Linked DNA regions of Notamacropus eugenii. The protein of the gene in region 1 binds, or shares a complex with, the protein of each later gene. Links are inferred from orthologs where the notes say so. Each region holds a gene or a part of one and is shown on either strand. Other genes may lie near its edges.

Region 1 (8,184 bases):
ATTCCTCCAAAACAACTTACAAACTGGGTGACCTGGACAAGTCATTTAACTTTTCTGTGACACAATTTCCTCATCTATAAAATGAGGGTGTTGGATAATCTCTAAAGTTCCTTCCAGTTCTAAATCTATGATGTTGTAGTTGTATTAAGACAGAAGTCCTAAACTAAATAAATAAAAACGCAACAAATCAGAAGTATAAATGCTGCCTATATCTACTGACCTGCTGAGGGCTAATACTTACCAGCAGGGGTGTGTGTGTGTGTGTGTGTGTGTGTGTGTGTGTGTGTGTGTGTGTGTGTGTGTGTGTTCATCATATATATCAAGGAGTGTGTTGGTAAATGTTTAACAACTGGCTCTCTAAAAATATACATGTGCATAACACACTTTTCAATTTAAGCTTCCTTATTAACATTTTATCCCGTCACTACATTAAGTCTGGATAATAAACAAAACAATGAAACAAGACTTGACTTGTAGCATAGCATTTGCCAATTTCTATGGTATAAGTGTTCACTCTGAAAATTTAACTATAGGCTTGAGCCCACTGAAGCTGGCTCCAGCATACTCTGCACATATGGTACATCAGAAGCTTGTGTATTATCAACAGGAGGGAGCTGCATCACTCTACTCATGTTTATTCAATTTTGTAACACTCCTCTCCCTCTAAAAACACAGGACATACTTTTCTATTTGAAAATCAAGATGTTTAAAAGAACATGGACATCCCCAACATAACAGAAACACCCTGGCATGTTACAAAACTTGAGTTGTTGATATTGACTCATGGAGCAAGCACTGGTAACTGCATACCTTTATGAGGGCATGTAGTAGTCTGATTGTAGACTCGGGAAGCCCTATCATTACATAGAAGCAGGCTTAGAAAAATGATCTTATCCAACACTAACCCTATGGATGAGTCCCTGCTATGCCATCTCCAAAGGGGAATATGTAGATTCTGATTCAGTGTTTGTGCACAAACTGTATACTGATTTCAAATCATGTCCAAAGGGCTATAATACTGTGTATACTCTAACACTACTAACATACCCCAAGGAGACCAAAGAAAAAGGAAAAGCACCCATATTCCTATGTAGAAATTCGTACAAATATGTACGAAAGTATTTTTAACAACTCTTTTTGTGGTAGCAAAGAGCTGGATACTAAGGAGATGTCCATCAATTGAGGAATGACTGAACAGGTTATGGTATATGAATGATGAAATATTATTGTGCTTTAAGAAATGATGAAGGGGATGATTTCAGAAAAATCTGGGAAGACCTATATGAACTGATGAAAAGTGAAGTGAACAGAAGCAAGAGAGCAGTCTGCACAATAATAGCAACTGTAAGGATAATCAACTGTGAAAGACTTAGTAACTGATCAATACAACGAGCTACCACTCCTGGAAAGGACTCAGTATCAAATGCTATCAACCTCCTGATAAAGAACTGATAAACTCAGGGTCCAAATCTAAGTGTATTTTTTTCCTTTGTTTTTCTTGCTTTTGGGGGAGGGTGGGTGGGCATGGCTAATGAGGAAATATGTTTTGCATGACTGTGTGTATATGTGTATATATATATATATATATATAATGGGCATCATATTTCTTGCCTTTTCATTGGGTGGGGGAGGCTATGGAGGGAGACAGAGAATGTGGAACTAAAAAATACAATTTAAAAGAGAACACAGTGAAATATATGCTGCTTGAAGACAGAAATGCCCAGCAATTGGTTAAATTCTGAAAAGCAGGCCTACCCAGGCTGTCAGGGCATCTGGATTAACTCTAAGCTTGGGTGCAAAGCTAAAAAGGAGACATGCTTAACGGGAAAGATCATTTAACTGAGAGTCAATTTAAGGATTCAAGTCCTAGATATGCCACTTCCTGTTTGAATGACTTGGGTATGTCACTTTACTTGTGAAGCTCATTTAACCCATTTGAAAAATGGGAGAGTTATGATCTATGGCCTTTGACCTCTGACTAGTGATCATTGATCGAGAGCTGGAAGAGACTATAGAGGGTAGCTAGTCTAACTATTATTATTATTATTTTAACAAATGAGGAAAAGGAAGCCCAAGGTCACAGGGTTAGTTATTGGCAAAGTGAGTATTTGAACTCAGGTTTCCTGACTCCAAGTTCAGCACTATTTCTCTGAATCTAAGTAGCAGTAACGTATCCTAGGGCACAGGAATTCATTAATCTAGGTAGGTTTCTATCTTTTCCCAAAGCTTCCAGCTCCTGGGAACTTAGTGGAACAGGGGACTGAAGACCTCTCGCTGAGATGAAGCTTTGGGGAGAAGGGAGGCTGGACATAACAGCCTCCTTCCCTTTGAGGGGTTGTTCTGAGGCTTAGTCCGGACTTGCACTTTGGGAAGTAGGGGAAGTAGGGAAGGGGGAGGAGGGAGACCTTGAATAGCACTGGAGGAGGGGACAGAAAGACGACCCTGCTGGGACTTCTCTGGACCCACTCTGAGTCCATTTACTTCTCACAGAACGGGCGGTGACCCCACTTTTAGCCCTGGGTTCCCCCCTCTCTCCACTTTCACTACCACCCCTCTTCCACATTAATATTACCTGGGAGCAATGTGGGGGTAGGGGAGGTAGGGAAAAGGGGGCTGGGACGCGGGGGAAGAGGGAAGAACCTATATCTCTTGGAGGAGCTTTCTGAGGTTAAGGGTTGGGGGGTGACCAAGGAAATTGAACAAGGACCTATGAAAGGGCCCCTCTGGGGTTCCAGGCCCTGGCAAAAGGAGTCTGGGGAAGACTGGAGGCCAGCGGAGCTGAGGCAGGAACGCAAACAGAGAAGGGGGCTGGAGCACACCAAAGTGGGGCTGGCAGACAGGAAAAACGAAGGGATGCAGAAAAGAACGGGCTCAGGGAGGAAGGGCTGCTTGGAGAAAAAAGAAAGAGGAGAGGGCACAGGGAAAGTGTAGGACAAGGGCGAACGAGGAAAGGCAGGAAAGCTGGGAGAGGCTGGGGATGGCGGGTGTAGGGAAGCTGGTGGGGTAGCTGGGAAAAGTGAGAGGAAAGTCTGTACTCCAGCTCAAGCCCCCGCTGCTGCTCCCCTCCCCGACCCCTCCCCAAGCCCAGTTTCTCGGTCTGGCACGCTCAGGCTTACCGATGAAGAGGATGGGGAAAGTGATGAAGAAAAGGAAGACATGTGGGACCACGTTGAGCGCATCCACAAAGCAGCCGTTGTTCAGAACGCCCTGGTCCACCTTGTAGGCGGCCGAGTCGTTCTCGCTGCCGCAGAAAGCCAAGGGCATGGCGGTGCGGGGGCCAGGCGGGCCGGGCCAGGGCTCGGGCTGCAGGCTGCGGGCTCACCAGCTTCCCTCCTACCCTCCCCGCGCCGCCGCGCTCTGGACCAGCTGTCAGCCGGTCTCCCACCCCCGCTCCACCCGCCAGCCCCGCCCAGTCTCTGTGACCCAGCTACCTGAGCTTCCACCTCTGCTCTCCACTCCCACCCCACCGCAACCCTAGACCCTGTTGGAGGTGGCACCGGTGTGTGTGTCCTATTTAGTGTGTGTGTCTGTGTACGCGCGCGCGCGCGTCTTAGGGGAGGAGGGAGTTTGCAAAGCCTCTGTGTGTGCGCGCCCATGTACGTATGTATGTATGTGTATGTGTGTACGCGCTAGTATGTGTGTATGTATATGAGTGTGTGAGCGCGTGCAAAGGAGCGTTCTGCGCACGTGCGCTGCTGGGTGAATGGAGGATGATCCCAATTATGTGTCTCTGCGCTTTTTCTTGACTTGGCTTCAGTTTGTGCTGGGGGCGCACTTTCCGTGGGCTCAGGTTGGGCGCGTGTGTGGGGGGGACTGGGAGAGTACTTCAGGGACACAGGATCGGGCTGAACCCGGGGCTCCCAAAGAAGTATGATACGAGGGTGGGGCAACTGGGGAACGCAGGACCAGAGGCTGTCTCTGAGCTGCTGGACTCATGTCCAAACATTGACTGCCTATTCCCGAGAGTCGAACAGAGAGACCCTTTCTCCCCCACAGCCTCCCGATTCACCCCGCCTCCCCCCCCAAGTCCATTGAGTAGGGGGATCCTGGAGGGAAAGGTCCTGGGGGCAATTAGGTGCCCTAAACCTGTACCCAGAAGATTCTGACCCCAGAAAGAAGTCCTGAGAACTATCATCACCCAATCTGGAGAAGAGAATCTCTGGTCACATCATTCTTTGGTCCCCAAATCTTCAGTGGCTCCCAGAGGCATACTAATAGAGTCTTTATGGTCCTTCAAAATGTGACATCACTGATCTGTTCGATCCTATCTAATAGTTTTCCCCTCCAATCATACTACACTCCAGACGAATTGGACACCTCTGTCCCCAAACGATCCAGCACATGCCTAATTAAAGGCATGCTTCCTACCTTATATGATATTCTGTGACTCTAGAATGTCCTCTTTCTCTGCTTTACCTACTGAGATCCCATCCAACTTACAAAGCCCAACTCAAATGCCACCTCTGCAATGATCAATCGCTGATCCCTCTCCCATAAGTACATTCTCCCTCAGAACTTTGCTAACTCTCTATTGAACTTATCCTGTAACGATTGCATGGAAAGAGTTATTATGTTTATTTCTTGTTCCACAACTAACTACATAGGACTTTCTATCTCCTTATTACCCAGAGCAGTTCTCTGCAAACAACTCAGTCACCAAAATAATCTATTAAGTACCTACTGTATGCAGCAGGTACTGTGCTAGATGCCAGGGATACAGACAGTAAATGAAAACTGTTTTCAATGAATTTGCATTATATGTATGCAATAAGTACTTCAACTTCAATCAACATTTATTATGAGTGGCCGCATTGGTATGAAAGCAGCACCAGCAGGACATAGTGAAATGTCTCAGGAGTCATGCCAGCGTAGGTCCGAGTCTTTTCTCCTGTACTTACTGACTGTGTGACTCTGGGAAAGCCCTCAGACAATAAATTGATTAATAGGTACTGATATGAGATGAGCTTCCTAGGGGGAAAATCTCATTAATAACCACACTAACAGTGTTTGCCCTATGGCTATTGTCTTAGCCTCCCCAAAGCATTTTTACAACTGTTTTCTCATACTGTCCCTCAGTACACCCCTCTAGTGTAGGTAAGACAACAGTTCTGAAAGACAGGCGTCCCACAGCTGGATCTGAGAGACATAAGTCAGGGAGGGGAGGAAATGGTTCGGCATCTGCTCATTGATGAGAACAATCTACTTCCTTCTTTAGTGAGGGTGGCAAAAGTGAATGCTTTGTAATGAGGTAGCAGAGGATTATGGAAGGGAGGTCATTTCTCCCTAGGAGGCTCATAGATTGTCCCCAGGATCAATGTGGGCAGGAAATAAATGTAAACTCATTTTAATGCTGACATTGTGAGGAAAAAATATGCCCTTCTTTCCCAATTATATGCCTTAAGTCGTTAAACATACTAAAGAATTTTGGATTATCAGGGTTTTGGATTATAGAGTATTATCCTTCTCCCTCCCATAAACATGAATAATGTAGAGTTAGCTCTAGAAAGACATCCCCTCACTCTTAGAAAATCTTTAATCCTTACATATGGATGAATGAAGTCCTTCGGGAGCTCCTGCTGGTAATGGGGACATGTCTTTGCTAAGGTTAATTTCTCTACCTTCGAGTAGAACTTGACTAAAACTACAGGGGGATGGAGGGGTATGTGATGCAGACCTGTGGAAGAAAGCAAACCTGAAATGAAGATGATCATAAGTTTAGTGAATTTATTTAGCAGCACATTACATATGCTGTCATGTGATTCTCAGAATAACCCTATGAGTTTGGTGGTATAATAATCATCACCATTTTACAGATGAGGAAATTGAGTCTCCTATAAATTGAGAAGCTTGTTTACGGTCATATAACCTAGACTACCTGATCCCAGACCCAACATTCTAACCGCTCTGCAACCTGTCTCCCTGAGGTAGTCATAATGGTAATAAGAATATATATATTTATAAATCAACACTAAAGGTTTTATGTACATTATATACATTTTCTATACATTATATACATTTCACATTATATACATTTACTTCACAATAGGAAGCAGCATGGCATAGTGGAAAGAGCTCTGGTTTAGGAGTCCAAGAGGTCTTGGATTCAAATGCTGCCTCTGATTCTAACTACCTGCGGTGACATTGGGCAAGGTGTCAAACTTCCTTGAGGCTCAGTTCCTTCAGTGGTAAAATGTGGGGGTTGAACTAGCAGGCCTCGGAGGTCTCTTCCAGTTGTAGATCCTATAACTCTATAAAGGAGGTAGACCAGAGATGATTGCTCATATTTCTCAGAAGTGGAGAATAGAGCTCAGAGAACAGTGACTTTCCCAAGGCTACAGGGCTAAGCAGTGGAGACAAAATGTAAACCAGGTCTTAAACAACTTTGAAAGATTTTTCTCTCTCTCTTTTTAATTGATTTATTTGTTTTCAGTTTTAAACAATCACTTCCATAAGTCTTAAATTTTCTCACCCTCCTTCCCCCTCCCTCCCTGAGACGACATGCAGTCTTAGAAGGGTTCTACACATACATTCTTATTAAACACAACTTTGAAAGACTTAAGATCTCTGATCGATGTCATTATCAAACATTGCAGAGGTCTCATGATGAAACATCATCACCGTTTTGGGACAGGGAAGTGATGGATTCAAGATGCAGAGTGAGATGCATTTTTGCACATGGCCAAAATGGGAATTTGTTTTGCTTGGCTATGGATATGTTCTGAAGGTTTTGATTTTCCTTTAATTGGGGAATAGGTGGGAGGGAGAGAAAAAAAATGGTTGTTAGTTGAAAAATAAATAATAAAATAAAATAAAAAAATAAAAAAATAAAAAAATTTAAAAAAAAAATAAATAAATAAATTATAAAATAAATAATTAAAAGCCCCAAGACTTGGATCTGAAATCTAGTGCTCTTCCCATGGTCACATGTCTGCCTTCCATTCTCGAGAGTGGTTTTTTGCCGCGCCCGTCAGAATTGATTTCCCAGGTGCTTATTGATGGCATCACTCATTTTGGCACTCACACTAACCTTCCCTGCGTGGTTACTTACCTCTCCTGATTGCAAGTTGCAAGTTCTCTCCCCACACAGATGGTTCTGCCTCTTCCAGAGCAGAGACATAGGCTTTTTGTGTCATGTTCCTATACCCTCTAGTCGATGTGCATAGCAGGGTTTCAGTAATTACCTGATGAATGAATAAATGAGTGAATGTATAGAAGGTATGATGTTAAGGACCATTTGAAAACAACCAGTTCATTTCCTGTGGCTTCTCAAGTGTGAATCAGTCCTGCCCAAGAGTGGGTAAGGACAAAATCAAGTGAAATGGACACACAGGTAGAAGGAAGGCCATTAGTGACTCCAAGGTTAAGTTATCTGCTCTCGTGATAAGCACCTGGGAACACTAAGCTGAGAACTGTTGTTAAGTTGTGCTTGTAAGGTCTTTACACTTTAAGCAATGAAAAGTGAGTGTGAAAACTGGAAAATTCACAGGAAGGTCTTTGTCTTTCTTTCATAATTATCTTTATGAGTTGAGAACCAGTATGGCATCATGGAGAGAGAGCCAGCCTTGAAGGCAAGAAAAACTCGACTCAAGTCGATTCATACTGTACCACATGACCTTGTTTAGTAAGTATTTTTTCATTTTAATAAATTACAATGAGTAAAGTGTCATATGTTTATTTCTTTTTCCAGTATCTAATGCTATTTTCCAACTGTTCTTCTTTTCCTATTGTCTAAATGGAAGAGTTCTATTATAACAATATGTATAGTTAGTTAAAACTAATCAAAACAGTTGCCTTGCTGAGAATGGATGTTTAGTTCCACAAATCTAGTCTTTGACTTCTCTGCCAAGAGGTGAAAGGTATATTTCCTTCTCAGTCAAGATTGGTTGCTGGTCAGCTTGAAGAGGTAGGTTGGAATTGGGAGTATGCTGGAACCAGCTCCAACAACTCCCAAAAGTCAATTATTAAATTGTGTGAGCATTTATACTTTTGAAATCAGCAAAAAAATCACTGTTTGATTTTTTTTGTTTTGTTGACTACATTCACTTAAGAAAGTGGTAAAGAAAAATTTAACAATACAGATTAAAATTAAAATATGTCCTGAGTACACCCCACTCCCTCCAGGATCTATAAACATTTACTAGCACAGTCCTAATTGGAATTCAATTAGAAGAGCTTTGAAAACAA
Region 2 (8,083 bases), about 130 kb from region 1:
GGACTCTGAACCCCAACTCTCAGACTAGGGCATTTGTCCCAAACTTCCCTTCCCCCAACCCAGTCTAGGTCTCCTTTGCCTCCTGAAGGGGCCTGAGCCAGTCCTGTGTTAGTGCTGGTAAGAGCAGAGACAAAAATAGCTGAATGCAGCTGAGAACTGGTGAGCCCATAAATAGCTCAGTGATAAATACCCCATAACACCCCTGAGCAATAGTCAGGAGACACTGAAGCCCTAAAATCCCTGGCAGCTCCTAGCATTCAGTAAATAAACAGAGGGCTCTGCTGGACCAAAGGCCATTCCCCCCTCCTTCATGCAGGGTTGATGGATCAGGTCTCTACCCTAAGGACTCAAATATGGGACTGTTGGGAGGGAGGAAAGCCTGGGGAGTTTGAGCTGGCCCACATAATGAAGGCAGGCCTCAGGACAAGGCATCGAGGGAGATGCTGAACTTGGGCTTGGCTTTGGGCTTGGTTGAAGCCACACTCCTCTTTCGGAGGGGCCCTTTGGGAGAGGCAAGAGGGAGGGAGTCCAGGAGAGTTCGATCCTCCTCCAGCTGGCGGGCAGTGCAGGCAGGGGTAGGCACCTTGACAGTATTGCCAAACTTAGAGTAGTCCACTGAGTAGCGGCCATCCTCCTCGGCCACGATGGGAACAAAGCGCTGGCCCCAGAGGATCTCATCTGCAAGGTAGGAGGTTCGGGCCTGTGTGGTGATGCCTGTGGTCTCCACCACACCTTCCAATATCACAATGATTTCCAGATCCTGATGGTGGTGCAGGTCACTGGGGGCAAGGTCATACAGGGGACTGTTGGCATCAATGACATGGTAGATAATAAGTGGAGCCACCAGGAAGATGCTGTTGCCACCCACACCATTCTCCATAGGAATGTCCACCTGGTGCAAGGGTACAACCTCGCCTTCAGGGCTGGTGGTCTTCCGGACTACCTGCATGCGGATGGTAGCACTGATGATCATACTTTTCCGGAGGTCACCCACACGGAGCATGAAGCAGAGGCGGCCGTGGCGCATGGCGATGACCGCATGCTTGCTGAAGATGAGTGTCTCTGCCCGGCGGTGGGCTTGGGCTGTCTTCATGAAGATGCAGCCCAACATGATGGCATTGACCATGAGCCCAACGATGTTCTGCACGATCAGCACCAGGACAGCCAGTGGACATTCCTCAGTCACCATGCGACCCCCGAAGCCAATTGTCACCTGAACCTCAATGGAGAAAAGGAAGGCAGAAGCAAAGGAGTGGATGCTGGTGACGCAGGGTATGAAAGTGGCATCATTCTCCCCAGTTTCAGTTCTGGTGCTGTGGTCCAGGTCACCATGAGCAAAAGCAATGAGCCACCAGGCCATGGCAAAGAGTAGCCAGCTGCAGAGGAAGGACATGGTGAAGATGAGCAGTGTGTGGTGCCACTTGAGGTCCACCAGCGTGGTGAAGACATCCTGAAGGAAGCGGCCCTGCTCCCGGATGTTCTTGTGGGCTACATTGCAGTTGCCATTCTTGGCCACAAAGCGGGCTCTTCTCTCCCGGGCATGGTACCTGGGCTCTGTTGGATCCTCTGCTAGCCGAGTCAGTACATACTCCTCAGGGATGATTCCCTTGCGGGACAGCATGGCTCAGGCCCTCCCTAGGCTTCCCCCATTGGGGGCTCCTATCAGCCTAGCCCTATCCTCTCAATCCCCAGCCAAGATGCACCTTCTGATCTTGTCACCCCCTCCACCCCAAGTCAAAGTTGGCAAGCAGTCAGGTAATCCTCCACCTTTCTTGCCTCTTGTTCCCAAGTCTCCTAGCTCACTTCCCCACTTCGCAATGTTATGGCCATCAGCTCACCTCCTACACTCTGCTCTTGCCCCAGTCATCTCCTGGGACTCTCCACTGTCTCACATCAGTAGCCCCCAGGCTCACCCACTGAACCTATCTCCTTACCTACTGACCCGAGCCACTCTCTCCATCCCACAGCTCAGGCCCAGCCTCTTACCACCCTAACTCTCTCTTTATCCCTCTCCCCTTCCCCTCAGTTCCAGCCCCCGCCCCCCCTTGCCTCCTTCACCGGAAGCTCTCTGCTTGCGTCCGGTGCCTCTCTCCACAGGGTCTGGGGACTCCAACCCCTTCCTCCCTCTCTTCTCCAACCACCACCCCAGCTCGGCGCTTGCCCCTTCCAGCACAGGGCCTCCTCCTTTCCCCCTCCCCTTGAGCTCAGCACCTGCTGCTGTTCCTCTAGTCGCGACCGCTGCTCCCTAACCCCGCCCTCCGCACCAGTGCCAGCCCCAGTCCTGTGTCCTGGCTTGTCAATCTGTCTCTCTGTCCAGCGTCCTCTGACACCCCGGCTTGGGTTCCAGCACCGGGAGGGAGGTGGAGAGCTGGGAACCCTGCCGAGATGAGATAAGGCGGGGTGGAGTAGGGGAGAAAATTGATTGGGGTTGTACTGAGGGTAGGATGGTACAGGGGAGTGAGAGGTAGGGTGGTGGTGGGAGCCTAGGAGCAGAGGGAGGCTGGGCGTGGGGTGAAGAATGGGAAAGGAAGGTAAGAACTCAGGGAGGCTAACGGAGTGGGTGGGATGGGGGAGGATATAGGAGGCAGACGTGGGGATCGAAGGCTAAGGGGGCAGGAGATGCAGAAAGCCGGGGTGATGGCGGGGGAGGATCCGGAGGCTGGTGCGGCTGGGGGATGGGAATGGGAATGGGACTGGGGGAGGTAAGAGCTCAGGAGGTTGGAGGTGATGGGGGAGGGGGAAAATGGGGACGAGAGTGGGAATAGGAGCTGCTGTAGGGAAGAAGGATCGGAGATGAGGGCAGCAGCGGCAGGAGCACCGGCGCAGGCCCAGGACAGGAGGGCGAGATCGGGGGGACTGTCAATGCGAAGTCCCAGTACTGCAGCGGGCAGGGAGTGGGGACCCAGAGGCCACCAGAGGGAGTATCTGACCCGGGATCAGCTGCAGCCCGGAGGAAGGCGGAGGACTGGGGGTGCGGGTAGAAGGGAGACGATTGCAAAGATGCGGCTCCGCCTCCTCCCGGGCCCGCCCCTGGACCCAGAGGACGCCTGGGAAGGGTGCCTGGGGGGGTCTCTCTATCTCTGTCCCTCTCTCCCCATCATTCCCTCCTTCTCTCCTCATTCCTTCCACTCCCAGGTTTGTTTGTTTTGTGGGAAGGAGGGGGCTGGAGGAAGTCCTAGGGGCGGCCAACTCCCCACCATTTACTTGGGTTTGGCCCTTCTCCCAGCCGTTTGTCCGTACCCCTAATGGCTGAGGGAAAGTAGGCAACTGCTACTTCTGTATTTCACGGCTTAGGACTTAGAGGGGGAGGGGATACCCTTCATAGACCCATAAAACTGGAACTGAAAAGGCCCCTGGAGCACATTTTACAGACTGAGAAAGCACAAGGTCATATAATGAGCTTTTGATGGAAGAACCAGGACCCAGGTTTCCTGAAGCCCACTCACCTGAGTATATTCAACTGAGCTCTTCCAGTTCCTGGATTCAGGACATCCTTAAGGCATATGCCTTATTGATTTTTCCATTAAAATTTAAATTGTACAGGTGTGCCTTTCTTTAAGCAAACCTGAATGCTGGACAATCATAGGATGATCGACTTTGAATGGGAAAGGACTTCAAAGGTCTTCTAGTTCAATTCCCTTCCAAATCTACAAATCGGATAAAAGAGGGAGGCATTCTCTTTATCGAGAGATTCTTCACTTTAAAAAATGATTCACAATATGCTTTCTTTCAAATGCTGAATTCCAGTCAAATTTTAATAGATTCAATTTTCAAAAATCATTTTTCTGCAATATTTCAGAGATCTGCAGGCAGCCTTTTAGGTGACACAGTCGATAGTGTGTCAGACCCGGAGGAATGAAGACTGGAGTCCATGTAAATATAATTCCCTCCACTGAGAGGGAGGTAGTGCAAATAAGTAGCTAGGCGATGCCGTGCTGGGCTTAGAGTCAGGAAAACCTGAGTTCAAATTCAGCCTCAGACACTTATTAGCTGTGTAACAATGGACAAATTATTCTGCCTGCCTCAGTTTCTTCCTCTGTAAAATGGAGATAACATCTACCTCCCAAGGTTGTTGTGAAGATAAAATAAGAATATCCTAAAAAGTGCTATGTAATTATTTGCCATTATTATCTGTATTTTTTTTTGCATTTATACTCATGGTACAACTTATTAGACTGTATTTGAGAGTCACTCCATGCCCGGATTCATTAAACTGTAGCCAGTCTGGTGATGAGCCTGCCTAGGAATTGCTAGGCTGGTATTCAGACAGCAAATATAGTCTGTTATCAGGCCTGAGTTGAAAGACTATCCATCTTAGTGATCCCTGCCAGAATTTGCCCTCACCTGGCATTGTCTTTGAAGACCCAGGGCCACTTCCACATCACAGTGAGACATCAGAAAAAGATTTTAGGGGAGCAGTGTGTAAATCCAATTTATAAAATATCATTTATAATATATCAACATTTTACTTGACCTTCTTGGAGTATAAGAAATACAAAAGACTTAGGAGCCCCTGCTCTAGTCTCTTAGAGAAGGATCCCCCAAACCACTACAGTATTTTCACCAAGAAAACCCCAAATGGGGTCATGAAGAGTCCAACATGACTGTAAACTCAACAACGAAAGCCCTAGTCTAAATGTTTGAAATCTGTATGATTTTTATTTTGAACCTGTGGAATAAAGAATAGAGCCCTCAATTATTTCCAGCTGGATCATTATTGCTTTTCTTTGCCTGGTTTCTTTTCAGTGCTGCCAGTCTTATACTTCACATTTTTAGGGCCCCGTTTCTGTCTACAGGACCAACCCATCTCCCGGTTTTCACTGCTCTGTTAACCTTTCCCCCAGAGGCATCATCTCTGATGGCTCATGATAGTATGGAGAACCTCACAAAGTCATGGTTCTCAGTAGAGGTTACTCTTCTGAACCCAAGGAAGGGGCTGGGCAGGGAAGGAATTACAGGAATCGTGTGTGTGTGTGTGTGTGTGTGTGTGTGTGTGTGTATGCAGGTGTTTGCCTACACCCAGGTTCATAGGTATCTTTTTCTATGTCTTCTCCTCTAAAGGCACCGTACTTGGAATCAGGAGAGTAGCATTCTTGTCTACACTTTGCCACCTACCATATCCATGACTTTGATTAAAGATAAACAAACTCAGCCAAGTACCTAATGTTACAAGTGAGGAAACTGAAGTCTCTAGAGGTGAAATGAGCCAGTTTTTTCAGCTTAGTAGGAATATGAAAACTCCTTGAGGATAGGTACTGTTTCATTTTTGTGTTCCTGTCTCCAACACAGAGCCTGGTATGTAATGAGTGTTTAATAAATGCTTTTTGATTAGCATTGACTTTGAGAACCTACAGTCACCTTCATAGCATGAAGAAGTACATACCTCTGGAGATGAGGTTAGTAGATGAGTGAAAACTTGGGGATGAGTTTAAGGCTGCCCGTTGGTCCTGTAGACAGAAACTGGGTCCTAAAATAGTGTAAAGAGCTACAAGATTGGCAGCTGAAATGAAACCAGGCAAAGGGAAGCAATGATCCAGGCAGAAATTCGGTTCTATTCCTTATCCCACAGATTCAAAATAAAGTATGTGATTTTAAACACTTAGAATGGATAAAGGGCTATTCATTTTTTTCATGTCATGGACTCAAATCTGTGGCAATCTAGTGAAGCCTCTGAACCCCTTCTAACAATAATATTTTTAAAGTTCATAAAATAAAATGTATAGGATAACAAAGGAAACAAATTATATTGAAGTACAGTTATTGAAATATTAAAAACTAAATTCATAGACATCAGATCCAAGGATTCCTGGCCTCAAAGGATTGCCTCTGTGATTGTTATCTTTCTGCTATGCTGTGGTTTAGAGAGTGGTACACTTTATTATGACATCATGGATTGATTACTTTAAAAATGCAGACATTTTTAAAAAGGAAACATTTCACAAGCTTCAACTAAGTCTTACTCTGATTCCTCATTCTGCCATCTTGACCTTTCTGAAGTTATTTGCTAGTAGTATGTGGAGTAGTATATGACAAAGTCTACCCAATTAGAAAGTTCCAGGAATGGGCTCAGCGATGGAGGGTAGGTTTTTGGTTCAAGGGTTCATCACTAACTTGTCATAGGGTTCTGGATCTTTCAGTTACTCTGGGGTTGTGATTTGTGTTGATGAAGGGTGTACCCACACTGATGAAATTAGAAGTACTTTGAAATATCAAAGTACTAAGCACATTAATTGTTAGCTTAAGAAGTATTTGTTGAATTGATTGCAAATTATAAGTCTAATAGTGGATATCCTCATGCCTCTCCCCCAATTGCTCAAGGGAAGCTCCAGAGAGAGTGATAACACCCATATGAGAGAGACAGAGATAGAGATAGAGATAGAGATAAATAGATGCAGAGAGAGAGAGAGAGAGAGAGAGAGAGAGAGAGAGAGAGAGAGAGAGAGAGAGAGAGAGAGCAATAAGAATTCTGGAGAATGGAAGAGTGAGGAGTAAGACAGAATCACTTCTTTTAAAATCTAAGTGGGCTATTCTTTCTGGTTCAGTAACCAATCTTCTTTGATAACAGTTTTGTTGCAATTCTCTCCCATCCTCCAACCACACAGGGACGGGAAACCAAGAAACTTCCCCAGGTTTGCTGTCCCATCCCAAACTGACAAGTCCTTCATATATCCCCCAGGAGTCCAGGTCAGGGGCCAGGCCAATCACCACCCACACTCCATGAGATGGCTACTGGGGCTAGTGTTACATGATGAATAGAAAGTAGACCTATGATTTCCATGGTATAGGGAACTCCCAAAGGAAAAAACTCCTTTCCAAATGCAGGTTGGCACCTTCTCTGCAATGTGAAGTCTTAGAGAGTTACCTAGAGAACTGAGAGGTTGTGACTTGGCCTAGGATCACATAACCATTATGTATTAGAAGCTGGAATTGAACCCTGGCTTTGAGGCCAGTTCTTTATCCATGATTTCATGTTTTCACATGTGCAAAGTAGTATGTATATTAGTTGAGGTATAGATGCATTTCTCTAGTAAGAGGCTAGTGCTAGTGCTATGAACTCTACCTACCAAGCTACTAGGATTCCAAATTAGGAAGAGGAAGATGAAGGAACTCCATAGGAAATTTGGGGGATATGGTAGGAAATAATTAATCTCTTTATTTACAAATGATTTACACAGCTAGAAAATCCATGTTGGAGAAGGTGGCAAAGAGGGGCAAAATGGCACTTGGAGTCACTCCAGCTCAGGTCACTTGTCAGCCCGGACAAAGGATGCAAAGACACTGTCTGGCTGGCTGAGCAGCACCTCGGGCTTATCATATTCCAGTATGGCACCACGCTTCATCACAATCACGAGGTCAGCATTCAGGATGGTGTGTACTCGGTGCTGTGGAGAGAAAGCCCAGATGGAGCCTTGATGCTTTGGCAAACTAGAGGAAGTTCTGAGGGCATGAGCTAAGGGAAAGAAAGGCTGACGGTATCTATAGTTGCAAGGGGAAGGGGAGTATGAATAGCTATTCAGCATTGGAAGCAAAAGGCATGAGTGGGTAGGAGAGATAAGGAAAGTGGGGTAATATGGGTGTGGGGTGCTTGGGTAGGGAATGAGGACTGGCAGGAGGGCTAGAAGTGTTAAATGGAGCCGAAATGAACCAGCAGAGATAAGTAAGAATCTACACTAGAAACTGAAAGATAGAACTCATGGTTCAAGTCTGCACCCTAACACTCAAGCTTATACCTCATCATGGGGCAGGGCTTTTTTTTGTTCCCAAGGAGATGTCTTCTCAAAGATCAGGGGGCCAGGTTTGACAAGATGGGGGAATTCTGTGACTGAGTCAGAGTCACAAAGCAGGGCAGAGTCTTTTAAATGGTTAACTATGTCTCTTTATTCCTTATCCACAAGTTAGATAATTAAATTCAGCATCAGAATCTAATACAGTGCATATCTAACTTGCTTCATGTGGGCACTGGGCTCTTCACTCACTGAATAGGGAAGTCACTTAGGCTTTCTGTATTTCTTGGGGTTACCTTTTTCCATCCTATCCATGTTACCTCCCTCTTAGGGTAGCTGGGAATGACCAAGATCAGTAT

What was found.
Region 2: the proteins of ABCC8 (region 1) and KCNJ11 are in contact, whole or in part, in a cryo-EM structure (PDB 7S60), measured with the Homo sapiens proteins. The link is inferred for Notamacropus eugenii from reciprocal best matches to the Homo sapiens genes ABCC8 and KCNJ11. Residues at the interface, in NP_000343.2 of Homo sapiens: Phe5, Ser12, Ala13, Tyr15, Arg16, Val17, Val21, Asn24, Cys26, Phe27, Ala30, Val33, Val34, Val37, Phe41, Phe44, Ile46, Phe48, Ile49, Gly50, Trp51, Gly52, Ser53, Ser55, Lys57, Val58, His59, Ile60, His61, His62; in NP_000516.3 of Homo sapiens: Val44, Ala45, His46, Lys47, Asn48, Ile49, Arg50, Gln52, Gly53, Leu56, Val59, Thr62, Leu63, Lys67, His70, Leu73, Ile74, Met77, Cys81, Leu84, Leu85, Met88, Trp91, Leu92, Phe95, Ala96, His97, Gly98, Leu100, Ala101.

Annotation. Positions count from the first base shown.
Region 1 is NC_092877.1:40,901,703-40,909,886, forward strand, and holds the start of ABCC8 (ATP-binding cassette sub-family C member 8), read right to left. Parts: upstream 3,368-8,184; 5' UTR 3,265-3,367; coding exon 3,117-3,264; intron 217-3,116; exon of another isoform or gene 1-216. UniProt on the Homo sapiens protein: Regulator subunit of pancreatic ATP-sensitive potassium channel (KATP), playing a major role in the regulation of insulin release.
Region 2 is NC_092877.1:40,774,581-40,782,663, forward strand, and holds the start of KCNJ11 (ATP-sensitive inward rectifier potassium channel 11), read right to left. Parts: upstream 3,435-8,083; 5' UTR 1,622-3,434; coding exon 419-1,621; 3' UTR 1-418. Other genes in the region: ABCC8 (ATP-binding cassette sub-family C member 8), read right to left, coding at 7,245-7,382. UniProt on the Homo sapiens protein: Inward rectifier potassium channel that forms the pore of ATP-sensitive potassium channels (KATP), regulating potassium permeability as a function of cytoplasmic ATP and ADP concentrations in many different cells.